4 linked regions of the Diceros bicornis minor genome follow. The protein of the gene in region 4 binds, or shares a complex with, the protein of the main gene of each other region. Links are inferred from orthologs where the notes say so. Each region holds a gene or a part of one and is shown on either strand. Other genes may lie near its edges. The genes, in order: NFE2L2, PTMA, FBXL17 and KEAP1.

Region 1 (8,052 bases), on a different chromosome or scaffold from region 4:
TCTAAGCATTCTTTTAATTCTGATATTACTCAAAGGCCAAAATGAGAGTCCATGGAATAGCAAATCCCAGAAGGCAAATATCTTGGTAAATCTTACTTCCTTTTTTCACATTCCAGCCTCTGAAAGTGTTAAAGGCTTCATCTGCAAGGCCTGTTCTTCCATCATTACATTCTACTTTTTGTTTGTTCAAAATGAAAATAATTTAATTGATTTTTTCCCCCTAATTCTAAAAGTGCTTACTGTAAAAATCTGAACAATGCAGAAAAGATGAAAAAGTGATAAAACTGAATTGTCTGATTTTGTATACTCATTATTTGGTAACTGGCCCTGAAGACATACTTCTAGGTATAAGTGTTTTTCTGTACTCTGTTTATTTTCACCATACAGCAATGTTATGTATGGGAAACTTTGCATATCACTCCCAAGCTGCAGCTGTTAGTCTCTACTCAATGTACTCATAAAATTCCATCTTTGTCTGGGGCTCCTATTTTGCTGAGTGAAACTTTGCAAATATAGCAGATTGAAAGAGCAAAGGATCTTTAGACTCTTTCCACAACCACACTTAAAGATGTGGTTAAATTCTCCAGGCTCCACTCTAGTAAATGCAGAATGGAAAGATTTTCAAAACTTGTGGTTAAAATTCAAATTGAAAATGAAATGGACCCAGTGGCTTGGGAGAAAAGCAAGTGTTCCTTCCTTACCACTACACGCCACCACCACTTTTTTTGCTTATCATTATAAAAGTAATACATATTTATTTAGGAAAATACAGACAGGCAAAAATGAGAAAAATAAAATTATCAGTAATCTAATCAGAATGATTATGGTTAACATTTTGGAGTGTATATGTTCAGTCTTTTTTTCCTGTGCAGGTATATTTATATAGGTATCAACACATATAATTCAAAAGCACTCTTAAACTTCTGAGCTTTTCTCTTTACTTACTGCGCTGCAGTTCCTGCAGAGTACTGTTTCTATTATGACCAGGAAACTCTATGAGTTAAAACTGGCTTTGGAGATATACAGCTCTTTGTATCAGTAGTTTGCATAGTGAAGTGTGCACACCAAGGAACCAAGGTTATGGGTGTTTTTTTGAAATTAATACCCCAATTATTTTGAATGCTGCTGTACTGGAGTTCAGTTTATCCACTGGGCATGCTGCTCCTGAAGTTCAAATTCCCTCAGCAGATATTCAGCAAGTATCTTACATAACTGGTATAAATGAGGTCACGTCAGGGCCAGAATCTCTGTACGTGTTTATACCTCCATCTACTTAATTGATGAAATATCTGTGTTCCTTAAGTGTATTTTGATAAGGAGAATATCTCACTATCATCTATTTAATAGTATGATACTGATGCATGCTGTGATGAGGTGATTTACTTTGTATGTAGCAACAAGTATATATTATAGGAAAGATACCTTCCTCCTTCACAGGGAGGGCAATTTGCTTCTGAGGATTTGAGAATCTGTTAAACTGCAAAGTACCATCCCTATATGTGCTCCTAAGGATGATTAACAAACAAAAGGCAGCCAGGAGAAACCTTGCCTTCTGTATTCAATATATGCTGTTTTCGTTATCTATTGCTGTGAAACAAACCACCCCAAAACTTAGTGGCTAAAAATAACATTATAATCTCTCACAATTCTTTCGACTGATTGGGCTCAGCCAGGCAGTCTTCTACTGGTCTTGCTTGGAGTTTCTCATCTATGGTTGCAGTCAGAAAGCAGCTGGGGCTGGAGTCCTCTGGGGCTTGACTAGGTAGGCTGGAAGGTCCAAGTTGGTTTCTTCACTCACATGCCTGGTGCCTTCTTGGCTCATATAGCATCTCTCCACTTGGAGTCTCATCCCCCAGGGTTGTCCCCATGGCTGTCTTCCCATGAAGAGTGAAACTTCTTACATGATGGCTGACTTCTAAGAGTATAAAATTAAAAGCTTTCAGGCCTTTTAAAGGCTTAGGCAGAGACCTGGTATAGTGTCACTTCCAGCCTCCTTCCATAAGTTAAAGCAAGTCATTTGATTCAATGTGGGGGGACTACACAAGCACATCAATATCAGGAAGGGTGGTTCATTGGTTGCCACCTTTGGAAACTAGCTGCTTGTAAGCTGGACAAATTTAGAATTTCAACTCTAATTTCAAGAGAGTCTGGATATTTTCTGGCTTGAACAGGGAGTACAATTAAGGGGAAGTGAAAAGAAGAGGGAAGAAGTCTCAAGGTGATGAAGGATTTTGAAACAGTGGTACTTTCTTGGGCCTTTCAAACTTGGCACGTTAGATCACCAAGAAGAAGGTGAAATAATGGGTCACTGCATCACTATCCAAACTTTGCACACTCAGAAGGCTTACTTGATGATGCTCATTTTTTATAAGAATTCTAGAGCAAAGTATTACAATTCTGACACATTTCTAGCATATATGGAAGGTTGTCTTTCCAAAGACAGCAAAAAATTCAGACATCAATGGAAATGTACAAGGGTTAGTAGAATGTGAAACCAAGTGGGGGAAAAAATAAAATAGTAGCTAGGAGACCCTAGCAGTAAAAAGGACTCCCCTGGCACCAGGACAGGAGAAAAAAATCAGCATCCTCTTTCCTGTTCCCCTGGAGCTTCTGAACGTGCAGCATCTGTGCCCCCATAGCACAATATGTAGGTTTAGAGGGGAAGGCCTAGGTTTTCACATGAAGACCATCTCATTTCAGTGTTTGCAAAGACTGAGAACCTCCTTGACATGGGTGGTCTGAGACTGGGGTTCCCTTTTCTTGTGCTGAACCACCATTTAACACCAAACAGCTTTTCCTTAGTGTTTATTTTTCTTAAACATGTTCAGACTCATCATATTGTTCTCCTCCCTTTGAAAATATGTACTCTGCAGGTGCCTGAAATAATATACTTTCAGCAATTGCCGTTTTGTAAAAGTAAAGGTTATTTCATTCAATCTAAACTCAATGGAAAATTGTTGCTTAACAAGGAAATACCAAACACTTTATAAACTCCTTGAGGGCAGCAACCATGTCATATATGACTTTAGTATCTCCTACCTCCTGGGCTTATTGTCTGCCTTCACAGATTTAGTAGTATTAATAAGTAACTTGAATTGTTAAGAATATACTCTTGTGCCCTTCTTTGACGCAGACATGTCATTTCGTTATGTCTCTGCATGTTTCATGTCAGATTCATTGTAAATAACTTCCCCTAAACTTGTTTTCAGTGTGCAGATCATTTTGCCGGCTTTTCACATAACATCTGAAAGGGTTTAATTCAAGTTGAAGAAGCTTGCTTCAATTACAAGCAATTAATTTAGGCTTCACTTACCTCAAGGAATATTTGAACATATAAATTTACAGATAAATCCGGGGAGTGTCAAATTATGCAACCAAGAGAAAGTATGTTCTTTGCAGATTTTAGGGCGTTGATCTGCTATAGTCAGGCTTTTTTTTTTCCCCTTGGCATCAGGTTTTTGAATGAAATAGTAAAATCACTGCGGGCACTGTCTACTCACCTGGTTTTGCATAATTCCAAGAAGCTAGAAACTGAAAAGCAGACTTGTTAAAGAGTGAGGAAGATTGTTAATGTATAAAAGAAAAAACCAAAACAAAACCATTTATCTATTCTCTTTTAAATCTTGAAAGATGTCACAATATTCCTGTTTTCAAGTACTTGAAGTTTTCTGTGGGCAATAATTAATTTTTAAATAACTGTTTTTAATGTAATACATAGTCATTTTAGATTTAAAACATACTTAAAGTAACAAAGAGAAAGATAAAAATTATTCATGATTCTACAACTATTAATATTTTGGCGAACAACTTTCAATTTTTTTTCTAGGCACATGTTTTTACAAAACGGGTCCATATCATACAAACTATTATATAACTTGATCTTTTTTATTTTCATTTTTATCTTTTAAGTTATATCGTACGTGAAAAGAAACTTGCAAAGATTATGGCATGTTGCATTATCGCAGTGTTAAAGGACGCCATCTCTGGTGTGGTGCGCGCGCCTTGGTGGGAAGAGAGAGCTCCTGGCCAGCAATACTGACCACTCTCCGACCGAAAGAGACTTCTCCGTTTGCCCTTGGCAACCTGAGTCTAGTAAGAGTGCAAGCGCGTAGGAGTAAGTGGAGGGCGTTCAGGGTGATTGCGAGCACGAGCTCCCCGCGCGGTCCACATTTCCCCTGGGCAAGTCCCACTGGCTCCAGCCCCGGGGGGGGGACCGATGGCGAGAGGCCAGTTTGCGGTGCGCACGGCCTGGGTCCCAGCCTTCGGCCCCCGCCCCCGGGGCTGGCGCCACTCCCGGGCGGTTGGGTGAGATAAAGCGGGGCAAGGTTCTGCAACTCCAAATCAGGGAGGCGCAGCTCCGATACCAGCGCCTCTGCCGGGTCTCCAGGCGTGTTTGTTCCAACTGTTTAAACTGTTTCAAAGCGCCGGAACCCCAGCGACCTTGCAAACAACTCTTAATCTCGCGGACGGAGAGCGTGGGTTTTGTTTGCGGGGCAGAGCAAATTCAGAGCGGAGACCAGAGAGCTAATGCAGCCCTCCTCCCGGCACCCCGCCCGCCTGTCCACAGGGACCCGCGCCCGCGGCCCTTCCCCGCCCCCAGACCGCCAGCTTCTTGCGTCAGCCGGGGCGGGGGTGGGGGATTTTCGGAAGCTCGGCCCGCGCGGCCAGCGGGGGAAGGAAGGGCCTGGGCTCGTGCCCCGCCCTCGGGGGGCGGGAGGCGGAGCAGGGCAAGGGCCCGGCCGGCGACTCCGGTTGTGTCGCGGAGAGGGAGACCCGAGGAGCCGCCGCCACCCGTGCCGCCCTGTCCGCGCCGCGCCTCGGCAGCCGGGACAGGGCCGCCGTCGGGGAGCCCCAGAGCACGGTCCACAGCTCAGCATGATGGCCTTGGAGGTGCCGCCACCGGGACAGCCGTCCCAGCAGGTGCTGCCCCGGCCCTCCGGGCCCCGCGGTAGTGCCAGGACGGGGACAGGGGACCGAGGGAGCCGCGGCCCGGGAGGGACAGCTGCAGCCGGCTTCTCCTCCCGTCTATGGCTGGAACCTGTACTGCAGCGGCCGCGCACTGGAGCCGCTGCGCTTGCGCCGGGGCCGGGCTGGGAGGGGGAGTGGGGACCCCAGGGGCTGCGAGTGGAGTGGGGGGCGCGGTCGGGTGGTCCGACCAACAGTGTGCCCGCGGCCCCTGAGGGCGACTGGGTTGGGCTTTGGGGGCTGCGCCCACGCGCGTGGGGTGAAGGGGTGTCCCCGGCCGCCGGAGCTGGGACGCGGGAGCCCCGGCCAGCCCCCCGAGTTCGAGCAGTCCCACGGGCGGCAGGGCAGGAGGGGGCGGACGCTGGCGGTCTGAGCCGGCGCAGCCCGGCCCTTCCGGGGCTGCGCGGCTCCCCCGCCTCGGAGTCGGCAAAAATGTGCCTAGTCACGGGGCCGCTCTCGGGGGAGCTGAGGTCCCCTCCGGGCAGAGACCCGGAGCCCCTCCTCTGCCGTCGCCCCCTGGCCCCATGAGCTCCGGGAGCGCAGGCTGCGGTGCGGCGCTTTCACCCCGCCGGGCCGTACAGGAGTGCTTCTTTGCAAAGTAATCAATCAGTCTCCCCATCCGATCGCTCTTAAGCACTTGGGAGAGAAAGCCCAACCCCCAGGGTGGGGGAGGGAGGAGGTCCTGAAGTGCCCAGCTCGCTCCGATACCCCGACGTGCGGCGGCGGCACCGAGCCCCGCGCGCTCCCTCGTGCGGTGGGAAAAGTTTGGGCTCGTAGACCCCGGGTCGGCCGCTCGCAACGCGCCGGGAAGTGCAGGCGGGGCAGCGGACTCGGAGGTCAGAGTCGGCCGCGCCCCGGGCGTCTCGATCCCCGCGCGGTGCCTCCGGGTGGCGCACGCCGCGTGCGTGGCCTCGGCCTCCGTGACAGTGGCCAGTTGGCTGTCACGGCGGCCCTCGGTTGGCCCTTTCCTGCTTTATAGCGTGCAAACCTTGCCGCGTCGGGGCCAAGGGACAAGTTGGAGCTGTTGATCTGTTGCGCAATTGCTATTTTCCCCAGGGCGGCTTTGTCTTTGGATTTAGCGTTTCAGAATTGCAATTCCAAAATGTATAAAGCAGGATATTCTCTTCTCTGCTGTCAAGGGTAAGAGTTGCTAGTGTACATTAGCATTTCTATTGCTTTTAGGCTGTTAGTAATTTTTTGCTTTCATATATTATTTCTCCTTTGAGTGCTTTATATAATTTTCCTTTTCTGTTTGACAATTTGCCTCGATTTCTTGGCATGTTGCTTCTTTTGCAGGGGCAGAGGATGAGACATTTGTGTTTCATAGTTCTTTGCTAACAGGTTCTGTAAATTGTTATAAAAAGTGAAAACAAGTTTCTGTTCATACTTTGTAGAGACTCTTAAAGGAGTAGATATTTATATTTCCAAATTTTTTTTTTGTACTTGGATTCGTAGGAAAAAATATTTGGTTCAAGGAGATGTATAACTTAATAGATACAATAAATATGTTTGTGCTCTTAAATGTAAAGTTTTAGACTGATCCTGAAGATCTAAAGTAAGGTTTTAAGTTACTGACAATGTATTAATTGTGGTTTTTTTTCTTTAAAGCTTTTTGTCTTGAACTTTCCCCCAGTAATGATTAGGATTGTATTCCTCGCCTTCCCACTACTATGAAAAAGTAAATTGTGTTTTCTATTTAGCTGCTGTTCAAAAGTAATCTATATAGCCATTTACATAGTAATCTGTATGACCAAAAGATATATGATGCTAATGGACTTTAGTTTTCCTAAATTCAGGAATTGTAGCCTAGAGCCCTCTATTTTTTATTTTTTTCTTTCTTTACTATGTAATTTAACATTCTATATACAAAAATGCGTAAAGCACATGTACTGCTTTCTCTTTTAAATATGAATTTTCCAGTTATGTTTGATGAGGTAACTGCCTTTCCGCCTTTGTAATCGGACATCAATATGCATATTTGAAGACTATGAAAAAAGAAAATGAAGTAAAATTTAGAATCAATTTCATGTGTATAACTATGATTCATATTAAATCACTGTTTGTAGTCCAGAAAGATTTGAACAAAGAGTCAGAAGTGGATTCTGACCTTTTTTCAGGAAACTCCAGGTGTAAGATAGGAGTATCATTCAGTTTTTCGTCTTCTGTGCAGAGGAGGTTTATAACGAACAGGGCAGGAAGGAGAGTCTTCAATTCTGTATTTCCATTAGGTGGAAGCAACCATCCATTACTCTTTTCAAGAAAAGAGTACTTTCGTATAGGAGGGATGAAGTTGATCTTGGCAATAGACTGATAAGATTATTTTTAAAAGAAAAATAGGACAGGCCTCTCATCTCCTGAATGAATGTTAAGCAAAGAACAACTTGACTTTTTAGATAGGTGAAGAATCTCTTGAGAGATCATGGAAGTGGCATGCAGGAGGATAAATACACAACTCACATCAATCTTTCTGCATTAAAAATAACTTGGTCCATTTTGGAATCTTTCTTGTTAACTTGGGTTTTTATAAAGAATGCTGGAAAAAGCAAGTGTCTTTCTTTAGGATTACCGGGAAGAGTTGAAAGCCAAATACATTATTTTTCTTAATATTTATTTTTATTCAGGATGAATTATACTTACAGAGCTGCATGAGAAAAGGAATTCTCTGTGGACAATAAGCACATTTTTTTTCCTGGGAATTTCCTCGCTACTGGCTGAACGCATTTAAAGGGGGTTTTGCATAAATAATATTTCCTCGATCTGGGGTAACTTTTCCATGTAAACGCTTGGGTGCAGGAAGAATTTGGCACTATGACAATGATAGATGAGTTATTGGGCACTTCCTTGCGTGCCAGGCATTGCGATAATTGCTTCACATGCGTAATTTCACAGTAACCCTGTGGGAAATACTATTAGCTCCAGTTTCTAGGTGAGAAAAGAGGCATAGGGAGGGCAAGAGTCCTGCTTAAAGTTACCCAGCTATTGAGTGGCGGAGGTGGGATTCAAACCTAGGTAGTTTGACTCTGATGGCTCTTAATCACCACTTCCAAACTGGACCAGGACTAGTTAAACTTTAAACAGGAGGAAAAG
Region 2 (7,860 bases), on a different chromosome or scaffold from region 4:
CCTCCTCATGGTCACATACCAGCCACATACCCCCTTTCCTTGGGGGCAATGCTCTCGAAGGCATTCCCAGGCAGGGTGACTGGGAATGTGTCTGCACACGTGCTCCCCCCACAGCACTTTCACCTGCCACCGTGATGCTGGGCCCACACACTCACAAACAGTAACCAGAGCTTAAGCAAAACACCCACGGAGCTCGAGCTATGCAAATAGGTGCGCACACACAGATGCATGCAGGGATGAGGGGCTGGGAAATGGCGCGGGCAGGCAGAAGATTCCTGGAGACATTGCAGGGGGCACGTGCACGAGGAGCCCAGAACTGGCATCACGGCACGAGTGTGCTCAGGAAGCAGTGATGGCCGTGTACACAGCACATACACCTCCCCCAGCCTCCTGAGCTCGTCTCCAACCAGGGCATCAGTTTGGGGGCATGCCCGGAACATCAAGAGATGCTCCCCCCCTCTCCCCACCAGGCAGGAGCCTCTCGGGGCAGCCAGACCTGTGTGGTACCAGGGCCTCTGGCACAGCTCCCCAGGAGAATGGGCAGGCCCAGGCGTGCTGCACAAGGGAGCAGGCATGTTGGGGGATGGCTCTTACACAATCCCGTCCGGTCGGCAGGGCGGGAGAGTTGAAAGGCCCCTGGCAGCTCCCCAGGCCCTTACGCCTGGGCCAGGAAACCACAGCCTGAAACTCCTGGGTTTCTGAAGGGCGGGATTTTTTGAGGCCTGCTCTACTCAGGCTGCCGCCCAGACTCTGTCATTCCTCTGAGGCCAGAGGGGCTGCCAAGCATGTTGGGCATGGAATCATAGGCTTCCAGAAACTCAGCTAGGCCAGTGCCCTCATTTCCCACTGAACATGGGATGAATTTGCTGAAGACATCGTTCCTTTGTCCAGAGTCCTGCAAACAGTGTGACCCACTTAGGTACAGATGGCAACTGGAAAGGGGGGTCCCGGGAACATGGATGGTTTTCCCGGATGTGCCAGACACTATTTTAAGCACTTTCTAAAAATTAACTCGTTCAGTTCCCACTATAATCCTGGAAGGTAGGTACTATTACTGTGGTCTCCATTTTTTAGAGTGAGGAAGTAACTCACCTAATTTCACATAGCTAGTGTGTGGCAGGGCTGGAACTTGAAGCCAGGCAGCTTTACCAGCATTTATAGTCTTTCTGGTCTTTTGGGAATCAAGCAGAATTTAAGACAACCAGTTAGGAATACGGTGGAAACGGCTTAGCTGCAAGGGTTGAAAACTTAAGTGCCTACAGGGCTCAGCAGGTGAAATAAACATGTGACTCAGGACTGGCAGGGAGAGGCCTGTGGTCCAACTGGAAAGTGTGTAGACAGCCCACGCCATGTCCATATGCAAATTCCCTAAAAACAAAACTTGCCCGGAGGCCATTTGGGGCCCCTGGCTTAGACCAGTGCACTTCGGGCTGTAAACAGACCGGGGCCAAGAAATGCTGCCTTCCTGGGCCTACCAGCTTGTCTGGGGTGGGTTTGAAAGGCCTCAGAAACAGCAAAGGGCAAAAATGCCTCAATGAGTGGAAGTTAACAGGGGCCAGGAAAAACAGCCTGTTCAGAAACAGCAAAGAGGTGGGGAGTTGCCTGTCACTGGGGGAATGAGGCTCTTGGTAGCCTAAATAACTCCACCAGTTACGAGCTGAGCCATCAAATGCCACACTCTGAGGGCAAGGAGGAGGTTCAAGGAGGCCACTTCTGCTCCAGGGCTCATCTAACAACGCAGATTCCTCCATCCTAGGATTTTAGCCCCAGCCTGGTCACTGAGTTACTTGGTTACTGCAAGTCCCTTGCCATAATCCCTTGGTCTGCTTTTTTGACTTGTTAAAAGGAGAGTGATAAAATATTAGAGGTTGAACCTATAAATTTGCTGATTTTTAACCAAATTTTTTTGGTTTTGACCTACAAAAACACCAATTTTCATACGATTCAACCCTATAATTGTCCGGCCTACCTTGCAAGGTGCAGCAAATAAACGAAAATGCTTGACGTATGAGCCAGAGTCTCACTGCCACATATGCAGCAGGCACTCAGTGAGGCTAGGCAGATGTGAATGCTGGTTCCAGAACCAGGTGGATGTGAGCCCCTTCCTTATCCACTTCTAGCAAAGCCAGCTGCACGGGGACAGGGTCAGGCAAAGCAGTTCCTCGAGGGAAACTCACTTTCACCTAGCTCCTCCCCCATGTTTGCCCCTGCCCCCCCACCCCAATGGCCAGAATCCAGAATAGTCACGTATAGTTTTCAGCTGTGGACAGAGACAACTACCTAAGGCCACCATCCAGACAGGGAAGACGACTCAATCGCCTAGATGTGGCACAGACCAGGCTCTCGCCGCTACATCCGGGTTTTGTGGACTAACAATCCCCTCGAGGATAACCAGAGCTTAACGGATGCGCCGCAGGTAGAAGGCGCTCTCCTGCCCCATTTATGATGTCGCAAATCCCTCCACCTCTCGGAGAATGTGGCACAAAGGAGGGGGGTCGCGGCGGCGGGGGGCAAGAAGTCCCCTCCTCCTCTGGGGCGAAGGGCGGCCCCAGGTCCGCGGAGCAGTAAAGGCAGCGGCGGCGGGAGGGAGGAGGCCGAACAAAGAGTTGGGACGCGTGGTCCTTGGGGACACCATTGTCAGTCCCTTGGATCGGCTCGCGCCCACCCTCGGGAGAATCCCACCTCCAGCCATTGGGGCGCCTTGGGGCAGGGCGGAGACCTGGCGGACGCCTCCTCCGCCGCCGCGTAACCGGCACGGGATGGCGACCGCCGGGCAGAGGGAAGTGGTGCGGTGCCCCCGCTCTGTCCCGTATGTGCCCCATGTTCCTCCAGGCCAAAGGACAGGGACCTCGGGCTTCTCTCTGCCCAAAGGACAACTCGTTCGGGGAAGTCCTACATGCCAGCGGCCAGACTGTCAGATGGGAACAGGGATGCGAGCCTGACGCGTACAGGACAGGGACAGCAGGAGGGGGCCCAGACCCGGGTGGCGCCCCGGCACTCGTGCCTCCTCCCGGCCGGGCAGCGGAGCCCGGTCCTGGGGAGGCAGCCAGGCGAGTGCGTGGTACCCACAGGAAAGGGGAGTCTCGCGGTGGGAATGGGGGGCCCCTAACCTAGGAAAACCAAGAAGGGCGACTCAGTCTCTCCGTTCTCTTCTGATTTCAAGCTTTAATGGACTTGGCACCCGTTCCCCCTCCACGATCCCAGACTCCGGGTTTTCTCCGTTCCCAGATCGGCGGCCCCAAGAGACAGACAGCGGAATCTGCCAATGGCAGGACGCAAAGCGTCAACTTTGTGTTCGCCCGCCACTCTCAGCCAATGTGCGCTCGTTTCTCCGAAGTCCCGCCTTCCGTGTCGGGCGCCCCCTGCTGGCAACGCAGGAATGAACCGTATCCGTCGCCATCTTGTGTGTGGCACAGATATTTTTCTGGAACATCTTTCCACCTTTTCCAATTTTTCCTCCCACACAGCTGGTTTCTTAGTTCGAGAGCCGAGTGCAGTGGCGATAAGGAGGGTGTAACCTACGGTTTTCGGATCGCCTGCGTAGGTCGGATCGCCGCGTCACGCCACGCTTGCCGAGCCCAACGCCATCTTGAGTGTGGCGTTAGGATGGTTCCCTTCTCGGGGCTCCGCGTGGTTCCCCAAATGGCGCCCTGAACTTCAAGGAGCCCCCAAGGACTAGCCCAGCTGGTCTCAGAGACGGTTATTTCCCCCCAATAACCCCGCAATGTATAAGTTCGTGTGCCCCTCGCAGCCCCTTAAGTGGGGTGGGAGCGGGGCAGATTCGATGGCCGGGACCTGGAGAGAGGCTCCCTGAGGCTGTCGCGACGGCAGTCACCGACCGCTTGGGGCAGGCGCTGTCCAGAACCCTGTAGTTCAGGACCGCTGTGTGGTGCGACGCCCGCGAGCTAGGAGTCCTGCTCGAGGGCAGGAGCCCGCTCCGGCCCTCGCGCCCCCTCGATGCACGAATCCCCGAGTGTGTGTGCTTGGCACGGAGCCCGCTCGTCGGCTGGCTCAGGCGGCGGAGGCCTGGGCTGATGGTGGGCGACGGGGTCCCCTACCCAGGGACTCCGGGCGCCCGGGGCTGGACGTGGTAGGACGGGGCGGCCCAAGTACGCGGCTCTCGGCCTCGCACCCTGATCGCCCGTCTTTGGGGTTTCCGCCCACTTGCACTGGGACCACTCTCGGTCGAAGGTGCCCAGGCGCCGGGGGCGGGCATCTCCGCGGGCACTGCGCAGGGCACCGCCCGGGGCGAGCGCAGCCCAGCACCGGGCCTTCCCCTCCCCCTCGCTGGCAGCCGTCGCGAACGCCGGCCGCCGCCTCCTCTTCCCTCCCCCTCCTTCCGAGCAGTCGCGGGGAGGGGGAGGACTGGGGACTGGGCGGGTAGCTTTGCCGCGCTTTGGCTTTCTGCGTCAGCAGCCCCAGCAAAACAGCAGCGGGAGCGAGCGTCCTGAGCGCGCCCGCGCGCCCCTCCCCCCGCGGCGTCGGCGCCGCGGAGACCCGGCAAACTCAGGCCTTGAATGACAGTGCGGCCGGCGACTGCGCAGCGCGGGACGCACCAAGGCACTGCCGCTTTAAGCACGCTTGCCCATTGTTCGGAATCGAGCCAATGAGCGAGCGCCCGCTCCCTGCGCTCAGCCAATAGTATTCGGGCAAGGGAGGCCGAGCGCCGCCCACAAATCTATATTAAAGGTTCTGGCGCCGCGTGAGTTCCCCACTGGCTGCTCTGAAAAGCCATCTTTGCATTGTTCCCGTGTCCGGCTCCCCGCTCGCCGCAGCCGCCTCCGCCGCGCGCCTCCGCCGCCGCGGACTCCGGCAGCTTTGTCGCCAGAGTCCTTGAACTCTCGCTTTCTTTTTAATCCGCTGCATCGGATCACCGGCGTGCCCCATCATGTCAGACGCGGCCGTGGACACCAGCTCCGAGATCACCACCAAGGTGAGGCTGGACGCCGCCCGCCCCTTCGGGCTCCGCGCGCCGCTGCCGCCGGACCGGGGTTTTGCGCGTGGTTGCTGGGCTGCTCCGAGCCCGTTGTTACTCCTTCCCGCGGGGAGCCCACCTGCCCCCGGCCTAGGTCCCCAGGCAGCCCACTCTTTGTGTGTGCGGGGGGGGGGGGCGGGAAGCGCCAGACGAGATGCCCGTCGGGGAATGGGCCGGGCGCCCTCAGGGACTCCGGGGGGCGGGCGCGGAGGCTGAGGGGCTCGTGGGGAGGCTGCTCCAGGGCTCCCGAAACTTGTTTGTGACTGGTCTGAGCAGCGGCGGGAGGAAAGGGTCTGGGCTGGGGGTCGTCGGCCCGCGGGGCGCACGGAAATAACTTTGAAACTCGAGCGCGTTTGCAATCGGAAGTGTTGGGGGGGCGCGCGTGCGGGCGCGGGCCGGCTGCGGGAAGTGGCGGCTCCGCGGCGAGCGCCCGGCGGCGGCGCTGCTCTTTGTTCCGCGCCGGGCCGCTCTGTTTCGCGCCTTGCAGTGGGTCCGAGGAGGCTTATCTGGACTAAGCTCCGATAAGGCGGAGTGGGGTGGCGGGCCGGCCGGCCGCGACGTCGATCGTCTCCGCGGAGATGCGAAGCTTCTCTCCGCCCGGGGTGCCCTCGGGGAGGCGGGGGTGGGCGTCCTCCGGGGGAGCGCGCCGGGAGCAGCCGCCCAGCTTCAGTAGTTCACCAGCGATGCCGGGCTTGGCTGAGGAGGAGGCGAGCCCACGCGCTGAAGGAGAGGAAACGGAAAGTGAAGGAGCGGCGCGCCGGGGCGACGATGGGCGCCCCCCGCGGCTGCCCGGGAGCACCGTGTGCGCGGCTCTTCGGGGGCGCCACGGGCGAACAAAAGCTGTGGCCGTGGCTGGCCGTGGCGAGGTCGAGCCGGGCGCCGGGGGCCTGTCGGGGCTCGGTGCTGCGGGTTCATTGCCTTCGGTTTTGAGATTCTGCGCGTTTGGCGCAGCTCCTCTCCTGCGCGCCGCTTTGGTTCCGCTGCTCGCCCCGGGGAGCGTCTCCACCCTCGGCGGGAGCGCGGCACTTGGAAGTGGACCGGCTTTTTTATCCTTCGGTTCTTGTCCGCGATCCTCTCGTGTCCCTGCGGGGACGGGCGCGAGTCACCTTGGCGTCTCCTTAACCTCGGTGCTTCTGGCGTCACCTCTGGTTTTCCCCCAGGGGCGACTCCCCCGGCGGAGCGGAGCTTGCGATCTGCCTTGCCGCAGGGGCTCCCGCCGGCCCCCTCTGGGCCCAGCCCGGGAACTAGTTTGGGGAGGACGATCGGTCCTCTTATGTGCAGGCGCCCACGTTCGCTTTTTCTCCAAGGTGTTTTTCCGCTAGGGGCAATAAATCGCCCCATGGAGCGCGTCCCCGACGGTCTCCGACTGCGGGGCTGAAAAAGCCCCGCGGACTTCGGGGCGGCCTCCCGCGGGACTTTGCCCGCCAAATGCAGAGCCGCAGGCTGGCGCATCTAGGCCCGCGGGGGGGGGGGGGCGGCGGGAGGCCCGGAAAGACCGGCGCGCAACCTGCGCGCTCGGCGGAGCCTCGCGAAGCCGGCGGGCCCCGGGTCTCCAGGGTCAGGGGCGCACTCGGCGGCCCCGGGCCACGTGCTCCGCGCGCGCGGTGCGTGCCGAGGCCCGCGCGCAAAGCCCGCCGGGCGGGGGCTGTGCGCCTGCGCGCCGCGACCTCCCCGCCCCCACCCGCTCCCCGGGGCTTCGGCCGCCAGGGGGCGGGAACGGGCGGCGCTGGGGTCTGCGGCGGGCTGGCCGGCCGGGGCGAACAGGGCCGACAGGTGCCCCCCGGCCTCTCGCTGGACGGTGCCGGGCGGCCCCCCGCGCCCGGGCCGCTCGACGCCTGTTTGTGTTGGCGGCCGGCTCGGCCACGCCGGGTGGAAAAAGTTACGGAACTTAGGAGCAGCCGTGGTGGTTCTGCCCTTTGGAACGCGGGCCGTGTGCGCGCCGCGAGGTGCGGTGCGATGGCTACCCCGAGTCACCGCGGGGACGGGCGAGAGGCCGGGAGGGACATGGGGCGGTCCTGGGCGCACGTCGCCGGCGCCCATTTCCAGGCAGCAATCTGTGACCTTCTGGGACAGCTGTCGGATATGGGACATTGGTAGGATCTCGGTTTCTTCAGAGACCTACGCTTGCCGGGTCTTGGGCGCCCGTGGGCGAGGAACTCGGGCTCGGCTGCGAGGACTGGCGGGCGAGGCGGCCTCCCCAGCTCTGCCTGTTCGTTCCCGCCCAGTCCCTTCCCAGGCTGGTCCACCCCCGGGAATTCTCCCGCGGTTTCAGGGTTCTCCCTACATGACTTGGTTTATTTATGGTGTATACGTGCTGCCTTCCAAGAAGGATTTGTGGGAGGCGGAGCTCCTGTGCTTGGAAACAAGTCGGTGATAGGTGTGTGAGTGAAGTGTCCCGGGCTCGTCCGCCCGGCCAGACGGGTTTGGGACTGTGCTGCCACATGGCTTCTTTCCTCAGAAGCATGAGTATGTGGGCAGTGGGACCAGACGTAGTGGGCCCTTTTTAGTATGTTAGTGTGCTTTAAGGGTTGAAAAATCGGCTGAAATCTTGTCCATAGTCGTGCTCGGTATGCTGTGGTCCCTCCTTCTAGCGGTTCCATATGTAACGTGCGGCTCTTTCACCTGTGGCTGTCCAGGTCAGCACGGCACGTACACCTGTAGCCTTTGGGCCTCTTTGCCAGCCCTGGGTTACTTAGAAGACTTACTGGTTTACTCTTGCTTTTTTGAAGGACTTAAAGGAGAAGAAGGAAGTTGTGGAGGAAGCGGAGAACGGAAGAGACGCACCTGCTAATGGGAATGCTGTGAGTGTCCACCTCGCTCATGACCCCTAGCAGCTCTTGGCCGAGAAGTTCTGTTACTCCGATTTTGGGCTTAGTCCAGGTGGA
Region 3 (7,609 bases), on a different chromosome or scaffold from region 4:
CCAACTGCAACCATTAAAGCCTTTTTTTTTTTTTTCCAGTGAGTAAGATCAGCCCTGAGCTAACATCCATACCAATCCTCCTCTTTTTGCTGAGGAAGACTGGCCCTCGGCTAACATGAGTGCCCACCTTTCTCCACTTTATACGGGACGCCGCTACAGCGTGGCCTGAAAAGCGGTGCCTTGGTGCACGCCTGGGATCCGAACCTGGGCCGCCAGCAGCCGAGTGCCGCGCACTTAACCGCTAAGCCACGGGGCCGACCCCCATTAAAGCCTTTTATACATGAGTGTCTTTTTATAGGCAAATGTGAATTTCAAAGTGAGTATATTCTGTGTTGGCAAAGAAGAAAGAAAAGTTTTCTTTTAAACTGTTTTTCAACATTTTAAATTTATTTACTGGCTTTCAGTGTGAATGTCACTACGTCGTAACATGTCTACCCCAGGTTTGAATTTTATTCAAATACGAAAATATTTTATATTACAGAATCCATTATTTCACAAGTTATATGCTGAAATAAGTCATATGAATACACAAGTTGCTATTCCTGACTATCCATTTCCCCCTCCTCTTGAGTTCATAAATAAGTTACTAAATCCTGAGAATCCTGAGAAACATATCAAATGTTTCTCAGTCCCACCCCTACTTCATTATCCCCACCATGATTGCCTTAGTTCAGGCTTTTAAGGCCTCTCCATTGACCCTTTGAACAATCTTACCTAGTTTTCCTGCTAAGAGCCTCGTCCTTCTCTAGTCCATCTTCTATACAGTTGCCAGATTATGTTCCTAAAAACTGAACAAACTCCCTGTCCTCATGGGCTTACATTCTAGTGGAAGAGACTGAATAAAGTAAAAGAATGACAATAAACACGTGATAATGAGGTATAAAGAAAATAAAAATGAGGTAAGAGGAAAGGGTAAAGGAAGAAGTAATTTGTTTTATTGAGATATAATTGACATACAGCACTGTATAAGTTTACAGTGCACAGCATAAGGAGGGGGTAATTTTGGATAGGGTGGTAACATTTGATTATAACAAATGTTCATGCACTCCAGAAGCCAAAGACCAGCAGGAACACACCCATAATCAAAGCGAGTTGGGTTTATTGACTTGTCACAAGGAGGCAGATAGCACACCATGAGGAACTATGGAAAGCCTCAGGAAGAAGGTGTTGTAAAAGACTTATTACAGGATTGGGCTTGTGTTAGGTGATTTTGGGAAGAGTCAAGGCTTTGGTTTAGATTGGACGCTGTCAGGAAGCAGAGGTAATTCTATGATTGGATATTTTAATAATTGTTATCTAGAAGGTAGGAAGAATGGAGCAAGGCTAAGGTTGTAATTGGTCAAGAAACAGAAGTCACTTATATTAGCCAGAATGGTCATTTTTGTGGTTTGGAGAATGTTCTGGCATTTGCTGTGTTCAGACATGATTATGGAGGTCTTATTTCTGTCTTGTCTATTACGGTCACAGAGTGGCCATGTCTGACGTTGACGTTTTGTGAGATCTGTTTATGTTCAAATAGAACACTCAGACCTACCTGAGAACGTCGGTAACACCAAAGAGTAGCTAACAGTTCCAGGCCAGCTCCTGGATGATCAGGCTGCTTTTCTTTTTCCCACTAACAAAGCCATAAAGTGCTATAATTGTCTCTAAATTGCAATTTATAACTTTTATTCATAATTCTGTTTCCTGAATATTTACAATGTTTATCATTATTATTTAGGGTAATGAGCTCTAAAACTCATTACAGCTCTGCTGACGACACGAGTAGCTTTCTTAATCATTACTAAAATATACAGGATCCTCTGCTACATGCTGTTGTAAAGAGAAAAACAGCCACCTGCTTGCGGCTGAATGGCTCGGGAATCGGATTTAAGAACTACTGCTGTGAATTTCGGAAACCACTTAAAAAGTCTCAGAGTCACTTGCCTCATCTCTGAAAACAAAAAGTTGGAGTTATACTATATGTGCAGTTCTGATAGGGTTGCATGGTGCCAGGCTGTCTGTGTAGTAATCACATGGTGAGCTTGTTAAAATCTGGTAGAGCTTCTAGGGCCCCAACTCCAGAGTGTGATTCAGCTTCACTTTTTGAAATTCCTACACATTGTTGTCTTTAAAAAAAAAAAAAATTGCTGAGTAGTATTCCATCGAATGAGTATACCAGTTTATTTATCCAATCTCCTACTGATGGACATCTGGTCTGTTTATAGATTTAGGTGATCATGAATAAAGCTGCTATTTTTGAACAAGTCTTTTTGTGGATGTATGCTTTTATTTTTTTAGATAAATACCTATAAGTGAAATTGCTAGGCCATAGTGTGTGTTTAACTTATATGAAACTAATGGGTCCACAATTCTGACATAGAGAAAGTAATAAAAAGGTTTAGAACCCCTCCTTTTGCTCACAGTGTAGGCTGGTAGAGATGCCAAAGGATCGGTTATAACTCCTAACCTCCTGTCCTCACCTATGGAGCTGTGGGGCCCTGGAAGATCCCTTTATAGTCAGAGGGATGAAAGCTGTGTGGATAATATCTGTACATGAATGTAGTTTGGGCAGTGCATTTGATAGGGAGTAACAGGTATAAAAACCTCTACAAAGATTTGACAAATCTTTGCCTCTAGGTTTCTTGGAATTCCATCTCACTGTGATCAAGCTCAGAAAGGATCCCTGAATGTTGGCAGACCTAAAATAAAAGTCATTCCTGACAAGCCACTGTTAGCAAAGGTTCCTTGGTGTGTTTGGGTGAAGGCTGGGTGATGCTAGCCACTGTGGTGGGAAAATCACACAGGCTCAAACAATGGTCTCTAAGCCAATAGGCCTTGGATCTTGCAATAGTGCTTCCTTAGTCAGTTCTCTGAAGTTTTTAGTAGCTTTTTTAAACACCTGACACTTTCCTTCCACCCTTCAGCAGGTAACCAGGCTTCACATAAAGGAAAATAGAGACCATTTGAAAGAAACTCTTTCACTTTCTTGCCAGAAACATCTATCTATCTGTATCCATTGTTTATCTGTCCTTTCGTTATTCCTTCCAATTACAAAGAAGATGGTAGCCCTCGTAAGGTACTCACCAGTCCATCTTCTCAGGGGCCTTGTTGTATCATCTCTTCTCGTATCCCTATGTTTTCCTTTATACTGGCTCATTCCCATCTGTGTTTAAGCCTCTTCCAATTTCTCCCTTGGGAAAGCTAACCTCTCAACACCAGCCACCGCTTTGTTAAATTGCTCTCTCTCTCTGGTATCATAGTCAAACCTTCTAACGGGTTGTCTCCAAAGCCTATTTGCTCTCTCTCATCTGGGTCCCCAAGGTCCGCCTAGAACCGTCTATCTTATAGCAGGCACAGCACAATCATTCTTGAAATATATGATGGATGGATAGCTGGGATTCCGAGGGTGCAGACGAAAAAGTCATCTACAGCTTGTAGCCTGGGATGTTGGATGACTCACTGGGTTGAGAAACTGTTTATTTTTCTGATATGTATAGGCAATTTGATATATGCTTTCATTTTGAACTAAAGTTATGAAAAGTCAGTAGTCTGCCACAAGCAACAAGTACGAAAACAAGTCGGAGAAACACGGCAGTGCTGCACTACCAATAAGCCCCTCACGTAAGAACACAGGTCCGTCTCCTCCAAAGGCCACGCATCTGCCACTCCACCGGAGGCAGCCGGGACCCAGGGTGGCCTTCCGGCGGAACCGGCTTTACGGCTCCTTGGGAGCCTCGGTCTCCTAGACCGGGGGTGGGGGTTGAGGGGAAGAGCGAGCGGCTCCCGGCCAATGGCAGTTCTTGAACTTACACCTACAGACGTCAGCGCGGCTGTGCAAACGGATGTCACACAGCTGGCTCGGAAGCGTCTCCTCCCGCCCCACGAAAGGGGCGTGGGCCTAGCGGCCTCCGCGAAACCTTGGGCGACCGGAGGGAGGTGCGTGCGCCGCTCCCCGCGAGCCCCGCGCCCTCGCCGGCCCGCTTCTTCCCAGCAGTCCCTGCCTAGCGGCTGTCCCGGGTGAGCAGCCGGGCGCCCGCGCCCCCGCCCCGAGCGCGCCGCCGCCGCCGGCTCCGCCCCCTCCCCGCGCGGGCCGCGCGCTCCTGTGGTTTCGAGCTGTGTCGCGGGCGCGCGCGCCGCCGGCGGAGCCGCAGTTAAAATGGTCCGAGCGGGACCCCGCGTTCCCCCTGCCGCCGCACTGACTGACTGAGCCGGCGGGCCAGGCTCGGACTGGTCGCCTAGGCGGCAGGCTCGCTCCCTCTGTCGCGTCCCCAAAGCTCGCGCCCATCGTTCTCCCGGCTTCCCTGGGCAAAGCATGTAGCCCCCGTCGGGCGCCGGGGCGGCCCGCATCTGACGCCCACCCCCCACCGTCGCGCGTGTGCCCGTGGGTGCGCAGGGCGGGCGACCCCGCCGCGGGCCCGAGGCCGAGCCAGCGAGCGGCCTGCCCCGCTGCCGGGAGCCCGCCTCTCCGGGCCTCCCTACTTCCCCGTCCCGGTCCCTCTCCCCGGGGCCTTCTATATGGGCCACCTTCTCTCGAAGGAGCCGCGTAACCGCCCGAGCCAGAAGAGGCCTCGCTGTTGCAGCTGGTGCCGCCGCCGCCGTCCTCTCCTCAGGTTGCCCCGCCGGACCCCGGCCAAGGCGCCCCCTCAGCCGGCGGCGCCCCGGAGCCGGGACTGCTTCTTCCGCGGGCCTTGCATGCTCTGCTTCATCGTGCACAGCCCCGGCGCGCCCGCCCCCGCCGGCTCAGAGGAGGAGCCGCCGCTGTCGCCGCCGCCGCGGGACGGGGCCTACGCCGCGGCTGCCTCCTCACAGCACCTGGCGCGGTGCTACGCGGCCCTGGCTGCCGAGGACTGCGCCGCCGCCGCCCGCCGCTTCCTGCTTTCCTCGGCCGCCGCCGCCGCCGCTGCCGCCGCCTCGGCCTCGTCGCCCGCCTCCTGCTGCAAAGAGCTGGGGCTGGCTGCGGCTGCCGCCTGGGAGCAGCAGGGCCGGAGCCTTTTCTTGGCCAGCGTGGGGCCCGTGCGCTTCCTGGGGCCGCCCGCCGCCGTGCAGCTCTTCCGGGGGCCGACCCCGCCGCCAGCCGAGCCCCCCACGCCCCCCGAGATGGTGTGCAAGCGGAAGGGGGCCGGGGTCCCCGCCTGCACCCCCTGTAAGCAGCCCCGCTGCGGCGGTGGGGGCTGCGGCGGCGGCGGTGGCGGCGGCGGGGGAGGACCCGCCGGAGGAGGCGCCTCGCCGCCGCGGCCCCCCGACGCCGGCTGCTGCCAGGGTCCAGAGCAGCCGCCGCAGCCTCTCTGCCCCCCGCCCTCCTCTCCCACTTCCGAAGTTGCCCCCACAGAGGCCGGCGGGGACGCAGTCCGAGCGGGGGGCACCGCCCCCTCGCCTGCCCAGCAGCAGCATGAATGCGGCGACGCGGACTGTCAGGAGACCCCCGAAAACCCCTGTGACTGTCATAGGGAGGCGCCCCCTGAAACCCCAGACATCAATCAGCTGCCGCCATCCATCCTGCTCAAGGTGGGTCTGGGCGAGTGGCGCAGGGATGCGCGCTTTCCCTCAACCCCGGCCCCCCACCTCGGAGATTTTCTCTCTCCTCCCCCTGAGCGCAGAGGAGGGGGTTCCCTGACAGCCAGAGAGGTCCGAAGGGTAGATTGCAAAGCCAATGGGGAGGATGCTTATGGACTATTTTTTGAAGTAGAAAAACTTGGAGTCTACTGAATGTCTTTTAATAACTTGGGTCTATTAGGCACAATTCAGAGTTCATCTATCATTAGATTCCCAGCCCAGGGGTTTAGAAACTATTCGTAGGTGTTCTGTGAAATATTTTCATCAGTTGAGCAATTTTTACTTACTGGGTAAAGATTTTGTGTACATATTAGTGTTTGAAAGTCTTCAAACAGTACTTTGAGGTTTGGTAGTTGCTAGTTGATGTCAATAACAGCTAACTTTTACTGAGCGTTTACTATGATCAGGCACTGTGTCAGAGCTCTATATACATAATGTCTCATTCAATCCTCCAATTACCACTGTGAGATAAATATCGTAAACATCTTTACTTTATACAAGAAGAAACTGATATTTCAGTGCTATGTGCCTACAGTAGTCAGTCAGGCGGAAATTGTCTTTGCTCTTATGGAGCTTACAGTCTAGTGGAGCTTGAAGAGGTTGAATGACTTGTCCAAGGTCACACACAGAAAGTAGGGGGTAGATCTGGATCTTGAACTAGGGAATTTAGGCTTGCCTGACTTGAAAACCCTGTTGTTTGTGCTGTGTTGTATTGCCTTTCTACATTTTAACCCTTACATAAAAGCGTACAGATTACCAGAAGGTAACAACAGATGTATTTTTTGTTGGGGAATGGGCCAGTGGAGAAGAGGTGAGTGTCCTGTGGGAGCTTTGTCTCACATTGAACTACAAGTAAATTTTGCAGTTTTGTTGATGCTAGTGACAAACTTAATTATGTGGTAGAGTTTGTATTAAGTTATTATTAACAAGTTAGTTATTTTTCCTCATTTTCTCTCATCTCCCCCAACTCCCACCCCCCCCCACACCTTTCTGGAGCTTAATAAATATAAACCTCTTTTTTCAATGTGGATGATATTTAAGACTAGCCAAAAATAACCTAGATAAAAATTTGGCTACTTTTATTGTTATTGAAGTAACTGTCATCAATTCCATTTGTTAGTGTCATCAGTATACTTTCTTTGTTTGGTTAGACTTTTTGCCTATCTATAATCCTGTGATTTTTGGGTCTGTTTTATTGTGATATTAATGTTCTTGTGAATAATACAGCAAAAGAATGGGAAAGCTTAATTTTTCCTTGTGTCAGTAGGTAATGATTTAACTCTTATTGAGGTGTACTTGTTGGCGGAGTAATTGGTTTCTGTGTGTGTTCAGGATGTGCATTTTTAGGGCAGAAGGAACTTCCTTGAGTCTTTTAAATCAGTGGATGACATGGACAAATAAAATATCAACAAATATTTGGTATAGAGGTTTGATTGCTGTCTTGTTATTGGGCAAGTAAGACTGTTTAAAACCAAACCAAAACGGAAACCAGGTACTTTCTACCTAAATCATTATTTCATGAGGTAGAGAACGTTATAATATAAAAAGAAGAAAGGAGGAAGGACATGATCTCGTAATAAAGAGAATTGCTATAGAATAAATTTATTCTATCAGCTACATTGTTCTTTCTCGCATTTTTGCTGTGGACTTTTGAAAACTTGGTCTGAGGAACATATGAGAAATACCGGTTGGACTTGCCCTGTTGTGTCAGAGTATTTGCACATGTTATGTAGATTTCCATTCTTTGTATTAGAAGCTTGAATAAAGATTCTCTTGTGGGTCTCATGGTCCTAGTGGTTCAGCATGAAGTGAGTTGGATTGTTTGGAATGAATTGAAATCGAGGTTTTTCAGTGTTTACCAATCCAAGTAGAACTTTTAAGGATAAGCTTTTTGAGGACAGAGGCTCTATCGAAATAGATCTTGTTCATTGCTCTGTCCCCTCCCCTAAGTGCAGTGCCTGGTATTTAGTAGCATTCAGTAAATATTTATGAACGAAGGAATGACTAGGTGTTTAGGAAGTCTGGGCTGAGACTCTGGGTGCATATGTCATGCCGCTAAGAGAAGTCTCTAAGA
Region 4 (7,228 bases):
CTGGTGGGGACACAGGCAATAATGGAGTGACGAAATAACGGAGATAATTCTAGTGACAATACAGTGACGCGATGGCGGTCAGGGGATGCCTCTCTGAAGAGGGGGTAACATGTGATGTGAGCTGAGACGTCATTGTCCTGGGAATACTCGAAGGAAGAGCATTTCAGGGTGAGGGAACAGCAGATGCAAAGGCCCTGAGGCTGGAATGTGCCTGTGTGTTCTATGAAAAGCAAGGATCCCGATGTGCCTGGAGCAGCAATGGAGGGGGGAGAATGGGAGGAAACAAAGGCAGAGAAATGATGGAGCAGGTGGCCCAGGGGTCCACGGGAGGCCTTTGCTTTTGCTCTGAGTGAGATGGGAGCCATAGAGGGTTCTAGGCAGAGAAGGGACTTGACCTAGTTCAGATGTTCACAGATCTCTGTGAAGGGGGAAGGTGGAAGCTACGAGAACAAGGCGAAGGTGACTGCACTGGCCCAGGGGAGCGATGACGGGGCCCCAGACCATGTGGGTTAGGGGTAGATTTTGGAGGCAGCAACACAATTACTGAGGAATTGAGTGTGGAAATGATGGAAAGAAAGAAGCCAATCACAGCTTTCCAGTTTAGGGGACCACCAGACAGGGCACCCTAAAATTTGACTCTGGGAGACTCAACCAATTCCTATCCGAAACAAGACTTCTTTGAGTGTGGTGTCAGATCCTTCATACAAAATAAAAATATAATAAAATAAAAACAATGACGGCTTTTGTGCCTGGCTAGTCTCCCCACTGTGGCAGGCCCAGAACACACCTTTTTCCTACCCTTACTGCAACCCTGCAATGTGGGTTCCTGTACCCCCATTTGACAGAAGAGGAAACTTCAAGCCTTGTCCCAGTGTCTGAGCCAGGCTCCCAGGTCCCAGGAGGTGCAGGCCTGCTGTCTGGCTCCTCCAGAGGGGTCTGGCAAGGCCCCCTCCCTTGGGGGTCTGCATTCTGGGCCGGGGGCGATACCAGGGCCCCTTTTATGCCCAAAAAAGGCTCCAGGCGCGCTGGCCGCGGCCCCTGGCTGTCCCCAGGCGCATTCCTGACCCCTGAGTGGCAGGGCCGGCCCGGGGGAGGGGCGGGGGGCTCCGGGCTCAGACTGCCGCACGCCACCTGCCGGGAGACAGCGGAACTGCAGGCAGCCGCAAAGACGGGGGCGGGGGGGTATTTTGGGGACCACCGACTCAGCCTGGGGGCCTGAGTCTCCACGGGCCACGCGTGGCAAACCGACCTACTTCCCGGAACACAAACACACTGAAGCCTGGGGTCACCGTCCCAGGACACCCCCAGGACTGGACCCAGTTCCCCACCCGGCCTGGCGCCCCAACCTCCAGGCTCTTCCCGGGGAACCTGAGACACCCCAGCCCGCTATTCGGTTGTTTGATGGTGTGCTGGTAGGAGCTTTATTCACTTGTTCATATTCTAGAAAAGCCAGAAAGCACTAGTTCCCCTTCTTGGAGTCCATCACTGTGGGAATTCCCGGGAATCTTTCAGAGCTGTGCTGTGGATAAAGGAGGTGAAATGTAAACACATCTTTTTACAGAACGTCAGCGCTGCTCTGCATCTTGCTTTGTTCACTTAATAATGTATCTTGGAAATTGCTGCACACCCGCAGATTTTTTTGTGTGTGTGAGGAGATCAGCCCTGTGCTAACATCTGCCAATCCTGCTCTTTTTTTTTCTGCTGAGGAAGACTGGCCCTGGGCTAACATCTGTGTCCGTCTTCCTCCACTTTATATGGGACGCCGCAACAGCATGGCTTGCCAAGTAGTGCGTGGGTGCGCGCTTGGATCCGAACCCGGGAACCCCTGGCACCGCAGCGGGGCCCCCCGAGCTTAACACCTGCGCCACCAGGCCGGCCCCACATCCACAGATTTTGTAGTGTCCTGCTGTCCTAGTCTGCTCCGGCTGCCCTAACAGCATAGCCTGGGTGGCTTAAACGAGACATTTATTTCTCACAGTTCTGGAGGCTAGAAGTCCAAGATGAGGGTGCCAGCTTGGTTGGGTGCTGGTGAGGACTCTTTTCCTGGCCTGCACATGGCTACCTTCTTCCTGTGTCCTCGAGTGGTACAGAGAAAGCAAGAAGCTCTCTGATGTCTCTCTCTCTCTCTCTCTCTCTTTTTTTGCTGAGGAAGATTCTCCCTGAGCTAACATCCTTGCCAATCTTCCTCTATTTTTTATGTGGGTCACCACCACAGCATGGCTGATGAGTGGTCTAGGTCCGTGCCTGGGATCCGAACCTCAAACCCAGGCTGCCCAAGCAGAGTGCCCTGAATTTAACCACTGGGCCAGCCCCTGATGTCTCTTCTTATAAGGGCACTAATCCCATCATGGGGGTCCCACCCTCATGACCTCATCTAACCCTAATTAGCCCCCTATCTCCAAATACCATCACATTGGGGGTTAGGGCTTCAACATAAAATTTTTTTTTGGAGGGGGAGCACAATTCAGTCTGTAGCACTTCTTTTTTACATTTTTAAAAATCAAGGTAAATTCGTAGAGCAAATGTCTTGCTCCTTTTCACTGGCTACATAGTATTTCACAGCATGGATGTGCCGCCACTTAGCACACCAGGGCCCTAGGGAGGGACATGTGGGTTGAGTGCAATCTTTTGCCTGTAAGCACAGGGTGGAAATAAACATCTGTGTACATACATCCTCCTGCACGTGTGCGAGTGTACCTTGGATAAATCTCTACAAGTGTCACCGCTGGGTCACAGGACCTGTAGATTTGATGTTGAGAGATATGAGGGGTTGCCTTCTGGCGTGTTCGAGCAGGATGCGGGTTTCCGCACAGCGCGACTACGCCATGTCGACCCCTCTGGAGCAGTCCAGAACTGCAGCCTCACGCAAGAGAAATCAGGGGCCAGGTGGGGAACCCCGGCCTCCCATTTAATCCCAGACACTGAGCAGGGACCTTGAATCCTCCAAATTCACCCGGAAGGTGGACAGAATCCTTTCTTACACCAACCTCTGTTCAGTCTAGCGTTTCTTCTATTATTCACTTAGTTTTCATATAGATGGACTCTTTTAAAAATAATCTTACATTTATTGAAAAGTTAACTTTCTAGCATAAACAGCATAAATGGCAAATCAGTATCCCTTGTCATGAAAAATAACAATCGTTCATATTATTGGGCGGTAGCATGGGCATTTAGTTCTCCCGATAACCTGGCGGGTAGCTGCTCGTATTGTTACCAATTTATTTATTTATTTATTTTTGTGAGGAAGATCAGCCCTGAGCTAACATCCATGCTAATCCTCCTCTTTTTGCTGAGGAAGACGGGCTCTGAGCTAACATCTATTGCCAATCCTCCTCCTTTTTTTTTTCCCCCCCAAAGCCCCAGTAGATAGTTGTATGTCATAGTTGCACATCCTTCTAGTTGCTGTATGTGGGACGCGGCCTCAGCATGGCCGGAGAAGCGGTGCCACGGTGCGCGACCGGGATCCGAACCAGGGCCGCCAGTAGAGGAGCGGGCGCACTCAACCGCTAAGCGACGGGCCGGCCCTATTGTTACCAATTTATAGGTTAAGCTACAGGCCCACCGGCAGGGAGCTAGAGATTGCCAGAGCCGGGGTTCGAACCTGCGCAGACGAGCTCCACGCGCCTCTAGATTGGAGGTACCTAAAAAATAAAGACAAGGAAAACCGAACTCAGTAGATAATTCTAGCTGGATCCTGCGGCCGCCGGACCGTGAGGCCTGTGTTAAAGGAGGAGTGAGCCGTGGAGAGCAGCCCTGCGCTGAGACCACGAAATAGGGCGGATGGAAGGGACGGTGCCAGGGGGCGCCTGGCCATGCGGCCCCACCCGACGCCCCGCTCCTCGCCCCTGGGCGCCGGGCACCTGCGGGAAGGGCGGGGAATCGCGGCTCCTTCCCCGCCGCGCCCTCTCCGCCCTCTCCCCGCCTCCTTCCCGGGCGTCCCGAGGCCGACCCCCACCCGACGGCCGCGACCCCGCAGGCCTTGCGGCCCCGGAGCCGAGGTCCCCCGACGGCAGAGGCGCCCGGGGGCCCGGACAGCGACGATTAGGCGGGAGCCGCCCCCGGCCGGGCCGCGGCCCCTCGGGCTTCCCGGAAGCGCGGCGCGCGCGTGACACCACGGTGCATCCCCCCCGCGGCGCGAGCCACCCGGGCTGCGCGGGGGCCGAGGTGAGCGCGGCGGCGGCGGGGAGGGGTGTCCGCCGACCCCGGGTGCGGACTGGGGCGCACGGGCCTCGAACCCGAGGCCGCGATTCCCGGCGGCTCGGACCACGCGGCTGGGTGCGCCGAGGGCTGCGGTCCCCCGCCCCGCCGCGCCGCCAGGACGGGCGCTGTGGTGGCCGCGCCGGGGCTGCGCAGCTGGCGACATCCGGCGGGGGCGGGGGGGGGACGGCCCCTCTGTCGTCCCCGGGGCCGCGGGGACTTTTATTGTGACACGGCCGGCGCCGGGCTCTGCTTAGTCATGGTGACCTGCGCGCGCTCCGCGCCTCCCCCCGGCGCAGCGATGGAGGCGCCCGGGCCTGGGCGACGGAGGCGGAGCCCGAGCGCGGCCATGGCGGGGTGAGTGAGGCGGCCTGCGCCCGGGCTGCGGGCACGGCGGGCCGCGAGCGCCCCTGCGGCCGTGCCGGGGGCCGGGGGTCGGGCCGCCGCGGGCCCGGTGGCCTCGGGGTGCCCGCGGCCCCGCGGAGGGCCAGGAGGGCGCGGCCCGAGTCCTGTCCTTTTGTTGGACGGCGCGACCGGCGGGGTGGCGCGGGGGCGACGCCAGCCGGGCGGGAGGCCCGGGGAGCGCCGCTCCGATGGAGGCCCCGGGACCCCGGGGCGTTGGGGGCTTGGCGTGCGCCCTGGGGTTGGCAGTGGAGAGGCCGCGGCGGGGTCACTTCCTCCCTGCTCCAGGCCTCGGTGGAGGCTCCGACGGGGCATGCGCAGTCCCCCACTTACCGCTTCGTGGTGGTTGGGGGGGAGTGCCCAGCGCACAGCGGGCACCGTTGATCGATGGGCCAAAGACCAAGAGGCAGGCCCGGGGCCTCCGCCGTGGCCTGGTGGAGGAGGGTGCCCTGGCAGGCGCGGGAGAGCGGGCAGCCCGCCAGCCACACGCTCACTGACCCCTGCGCGGTGCCAGGCCCCAGGCCGGACGTGCGCGAGGCACATGCGAGGGTGGGCACAACGCTGACCCCCACTCCCTGCCCTCCGATGCGCGGGGGCGAGCGCCAGAGGGCCGGGCCAGCCCTCACCAAGTGAGCAGAGGAGCTCCTTTCGGTTCCCGACGAGCGCGGGGATGGAAATAAAACAGGCAGGAGGTGACTCTGAGCTGAGCCCCGGAAGGATGAGATGCAGAACCTGGGGAGCCTCTGCAGATCCCCCACTTCTCCCTGCGGGGCCTTTCAAAGCACAACTCACGCCCTGGCCCTCCAGACGCCGCGGGTTTCATGGAAACCCTCCCTTCAAGAGTCATTGTCTCTCCTTACATCCCTTCCTCATTCTGCCTCTGAGCCTTTGCACTTGCTGTTCCCTCTGCCTGGAACACTAACTCCCACCCACACCCCCTTCATATGTTCATCCTTGTTGTCTCGGCTCCAACAGAGGCCTGGACGACCTGACTTTAAGTAACTGCCTCCAGGTCACCCTGTCATTTTATTTATGGCCCTTTGCTCCCCAAGTGTCTGTTCCAGGGGGGCACAGTTTATGTCTGTCTTGCTCACTGCTGTGTCGCGGGTGCCTAGAACAGTGCCTGGCACACAGTAGACACTCAATAAATGTTGGCGAGGTGGATGAAGGATGAGCTGGACATGCTCTAGGAAGGGAAGGGCCACCAGATAGCAGGAAGAGAGTGAGCAAAGGGAAGAGGTGGAGAAGGGCTAACTGCAGGGGGCTTTGCGGGTCATCGAAGAGTTCGGTTTTTACTCTTCATGCCATAGGGAGTTGTGGGGGGATTCTGAGCAGGGGAAGGACATCATCTGACCTGTGTTAATTTTAAGAGGGACCCTTGGGCTGGCGACCCTTGGGACAGTTAGCGAGCCCACGTGGATGCTGCTGCACCGCGGCTTGGCAAGGAATACTGGTCTAGGGGTCGCTTTACCTTAAAAAGGAGGCCTGGCGCCAGGCCCCGCCCCCAGCCCTGTGCTCTCCCTCCTCCAGGCCCCTGAGTGCCAGTGGTGGTGTTGTCCCTTGTGGCCTGGAACCCCATGCAGCAGGAAGCCAGGCCTAGCGGGGCTGGGGCCCGCACCCGATTCCTGCCCCTGCGGTCACAGCGCCCCGAGGGGGCCGGGGACGCGGTGATGTACGCCTCCACGGAGTGCAAGGCCGAGGTGACGCCCTCGCAGCACGGCAACCGCACCTTCAGCTACACGCTGGAGGACCACACCAAGCAGGCCTTCGGCATCATGAACGAGCTGCGGCTCAGCCAGCAGCTGTGCGACGTGACGCTGCAGGTCAAGTACGGGGACGTGCCGGCCGCCCAGTTCATGGCCCACAAGGTGGTGCTGGCCTCCTCCAGCCCCGTCTTCAAGGCCATGTTCACCAACGGGCTGCGGGAGCAGGGCATGGAGGTGGTCTCCATCGAGGGCATCCACCCCAGGGTCATGGAGCGCCTCATCGAGTTCGCCTACACCGCGTCCATCTCCATGGGCGAGAAGTGCGTGCTGCACGTCATGAACGGCGCCGTCATGTACCAGATCGACAGCGTGGTGCGCGCCTGCAGCGACTTCCTCGTGCAGCAGCTGGACCCCAGCAACGCCATCGGCATCGCCAACTTCGCCGAGCAGATCGGCTGTGCCGAGCTGCACCAGCGCGCCCGCGAGTACATCTACATGCACTTTGGGGAGGTGAGCCCAGAGGGGTACCCGAGGGCGCTTGGGGGGCGGACTCGGAAGGACCCAGGACGCACAGGCGGGCCTCACCCTCTCCGCTGGAGATGAGAAGGGCCGAGGCGGGGAGCTGGAGAAAGATGGGGTTCTGAGCTCCTGGTCTACACATCTGGGGGGACGCCGGGACACGGCTGGGGACAGGGAGGCCTTCATGGGCTCCCTGGTTCCCCTGGGGTCAAGGGTGGGGACAGGGCGCAGTGAACATGACAGCAGCTCAACCTGGGGTTCACCGAGCAGGGCCTCACATTTCCGGCAGTCAGCAAATAGTTATTGAACCCCCCCCCCCCCCCCCCCCCCCCCCCGGGGACAAGCTGCCAACTGCCAGTGTGACCCTTCGCCGTGTTGTCTCTGGTCCCTGCAGTCTTGTCCTT

The links.
Region 1: the proteins of KEAP1 (region 4) and NFE2L2 are in contact, whole or in part, in a crystal structure (PDB 3WN7), measured with the Mus musculus proteins. The link is inferred for Diceros bicornis minor from reciprocal best matches to the Homo sapiens genes KEAP1 and NFE2L2. Residues at the interface, in NP_001103775.1 of Mus musculus: Tyr334, Ser363, Gly364, Arg380, Asn382, Pro384, Asp385, Gly386, Asn387, Asn414, Arg415, Ser431, Gly433, Cys434, His436, Ile461, Phe478, Gly480, Arg483, Ser508, Gly509, Tyr525, Gln530, Ser555, Ala556, Tyr572, Phe577, Ser602, Gly603; in NP_035032.1 of Mus musculus: Leu19, Ile22, Leu23, Arg25, Gln26, Asp27, Ile28, Asp29, Leu30, Gly31, Val32, Val36, Phe37, Phe39.
Region 2: the proteins of KEAP1 (region 4) and PTMA are in contact, whole or in part, in a crystal structure (PDB 2Z32), measured with the Mus musculus proteins. The link is inferred for Diceros bicornis minor from reciprocal best matches to the Homo sapiens genes KEAP1 and PTMA. Residues at the interface, in NP_001103775.1 of Mus musculus: Tyr334, Ser363, Arg380, Asn382, Arg415, Phe478, Arg483, Ser508, Gly509, Tyr525, Gln530, Ser555, Ala556, Tyr572, Gly574, Phe577, Ser602; in NP_032998.1 of Mus musculus: Gln40, Asn41, Glu42, Glu43, Asn44, Gly45, Glu46, Gln47.
Region 3: the proteins of KEAP1 (region 4) and FBXL17 are in contact, whole or in part, in a crystal structure (PDB 6W66), measured with the Homo sapiens proteins. The link is inferred for Diceros bicornis minor from reciprocal best matches to the Homo sapiens genes KEAP1 and FBXL17. Residues at the interface, in NP_036421.2 of Homo sapiens: His59, Thr60, Ala63, Ile66, Met67, Glu69, Leu70, Gln75, Leu76, Gln82, Lys84, Ala90, His96, Val98, Ala101, Ser102, Ser103, Ser104, Pro105, Val106, Lys108, Ala109, Met110, Thr112, Asn113, Gly114, Val122, Ser124, Glu126, Gln163; in NP_001156787.2 of Homo sapiens: Asp395, Arg397, Arg421, Lys423, Asn447, Gln473, Tyr475, Met524, Arg548, Asn572, Cys574, Leu575, Trp577, Glu596, Tyr598, Val600, Ser601, Asp623, Trp626, Lys628, Tyr647, Met651, Arg652, Val676, Leu677, Asp679, Cys680, Thr683, Leu684, Arg686.

The regions. Positions count from the first base shown.
Region 1 is NC_080749.1:57,827,018-57,835,069, reverse strand, and holds the start of NFE2L2 (nuclear factor erythroid 2-related factor 2), read left to right. Parts: upstream 1-4,871; 5' UTR 4,872-4,875; coding exon of another isoform or gene 4,876-4,920; intron 4,921-5,888; exon of another isoform or gene 5,889-6,105; intron 6,106-8,052.
Region 2 is NC_080776.1:20,082,765-20,090,624, forward strand, and holds the start of PTMA (prothymosin alpha), read left to right. Parts: upstream 1-4,716; 5' UTR 4,717-4,888; coding exon 4,889-4,933; intron 4,934-7,704; coding exon 7,705-7,776; intron 7,777-7,860.
Region 3 is NC_080740.1:31,796,407-31,804,015, reverse strand, and holds the start of FBXL17 (F-box/LRR-repeat protein 17), read left to right. Parts: upstream 1-4,436; 5' UTR 4,437-4,497; coding exon 4,498-5,487; intron 5,488-7,609. UniProt on the Homo sapiens protein: Substrate-recognition component of the SCF(FBXL17) E3 ubiquitin ligase complex, a key component of a quality control pathway required to ensure functional dimerization of BTB domain-containing proteins (dimerization quality control, DQC).
Region 4 is NC_080769.1:8,739,523-8,746,750, forward strand, and holds the start of KEAP1 (kelch-like ECH-associated protein 1), read left to right. Parts: upstream 1-4,007; 5' UTR 4,008-4,164; intron 4,165-4,267; exon of another isoform or gene 4,268-4,554; intron 4,555-4,661; exon of another isoform or gene 4,662-6,129; 5' UTR 6,130-6,176; coding exon 6,177-6,815; intron 6,816-7,228. UniProt on the Homo sapiens protein: Substrate-specific adapter of a BCR (BTB-CUL3-RBX1) E3 ubiquitin ligase complex that regulates the response to oxidative stress by targeting NFE2L2/NRF2 for ubiquitination.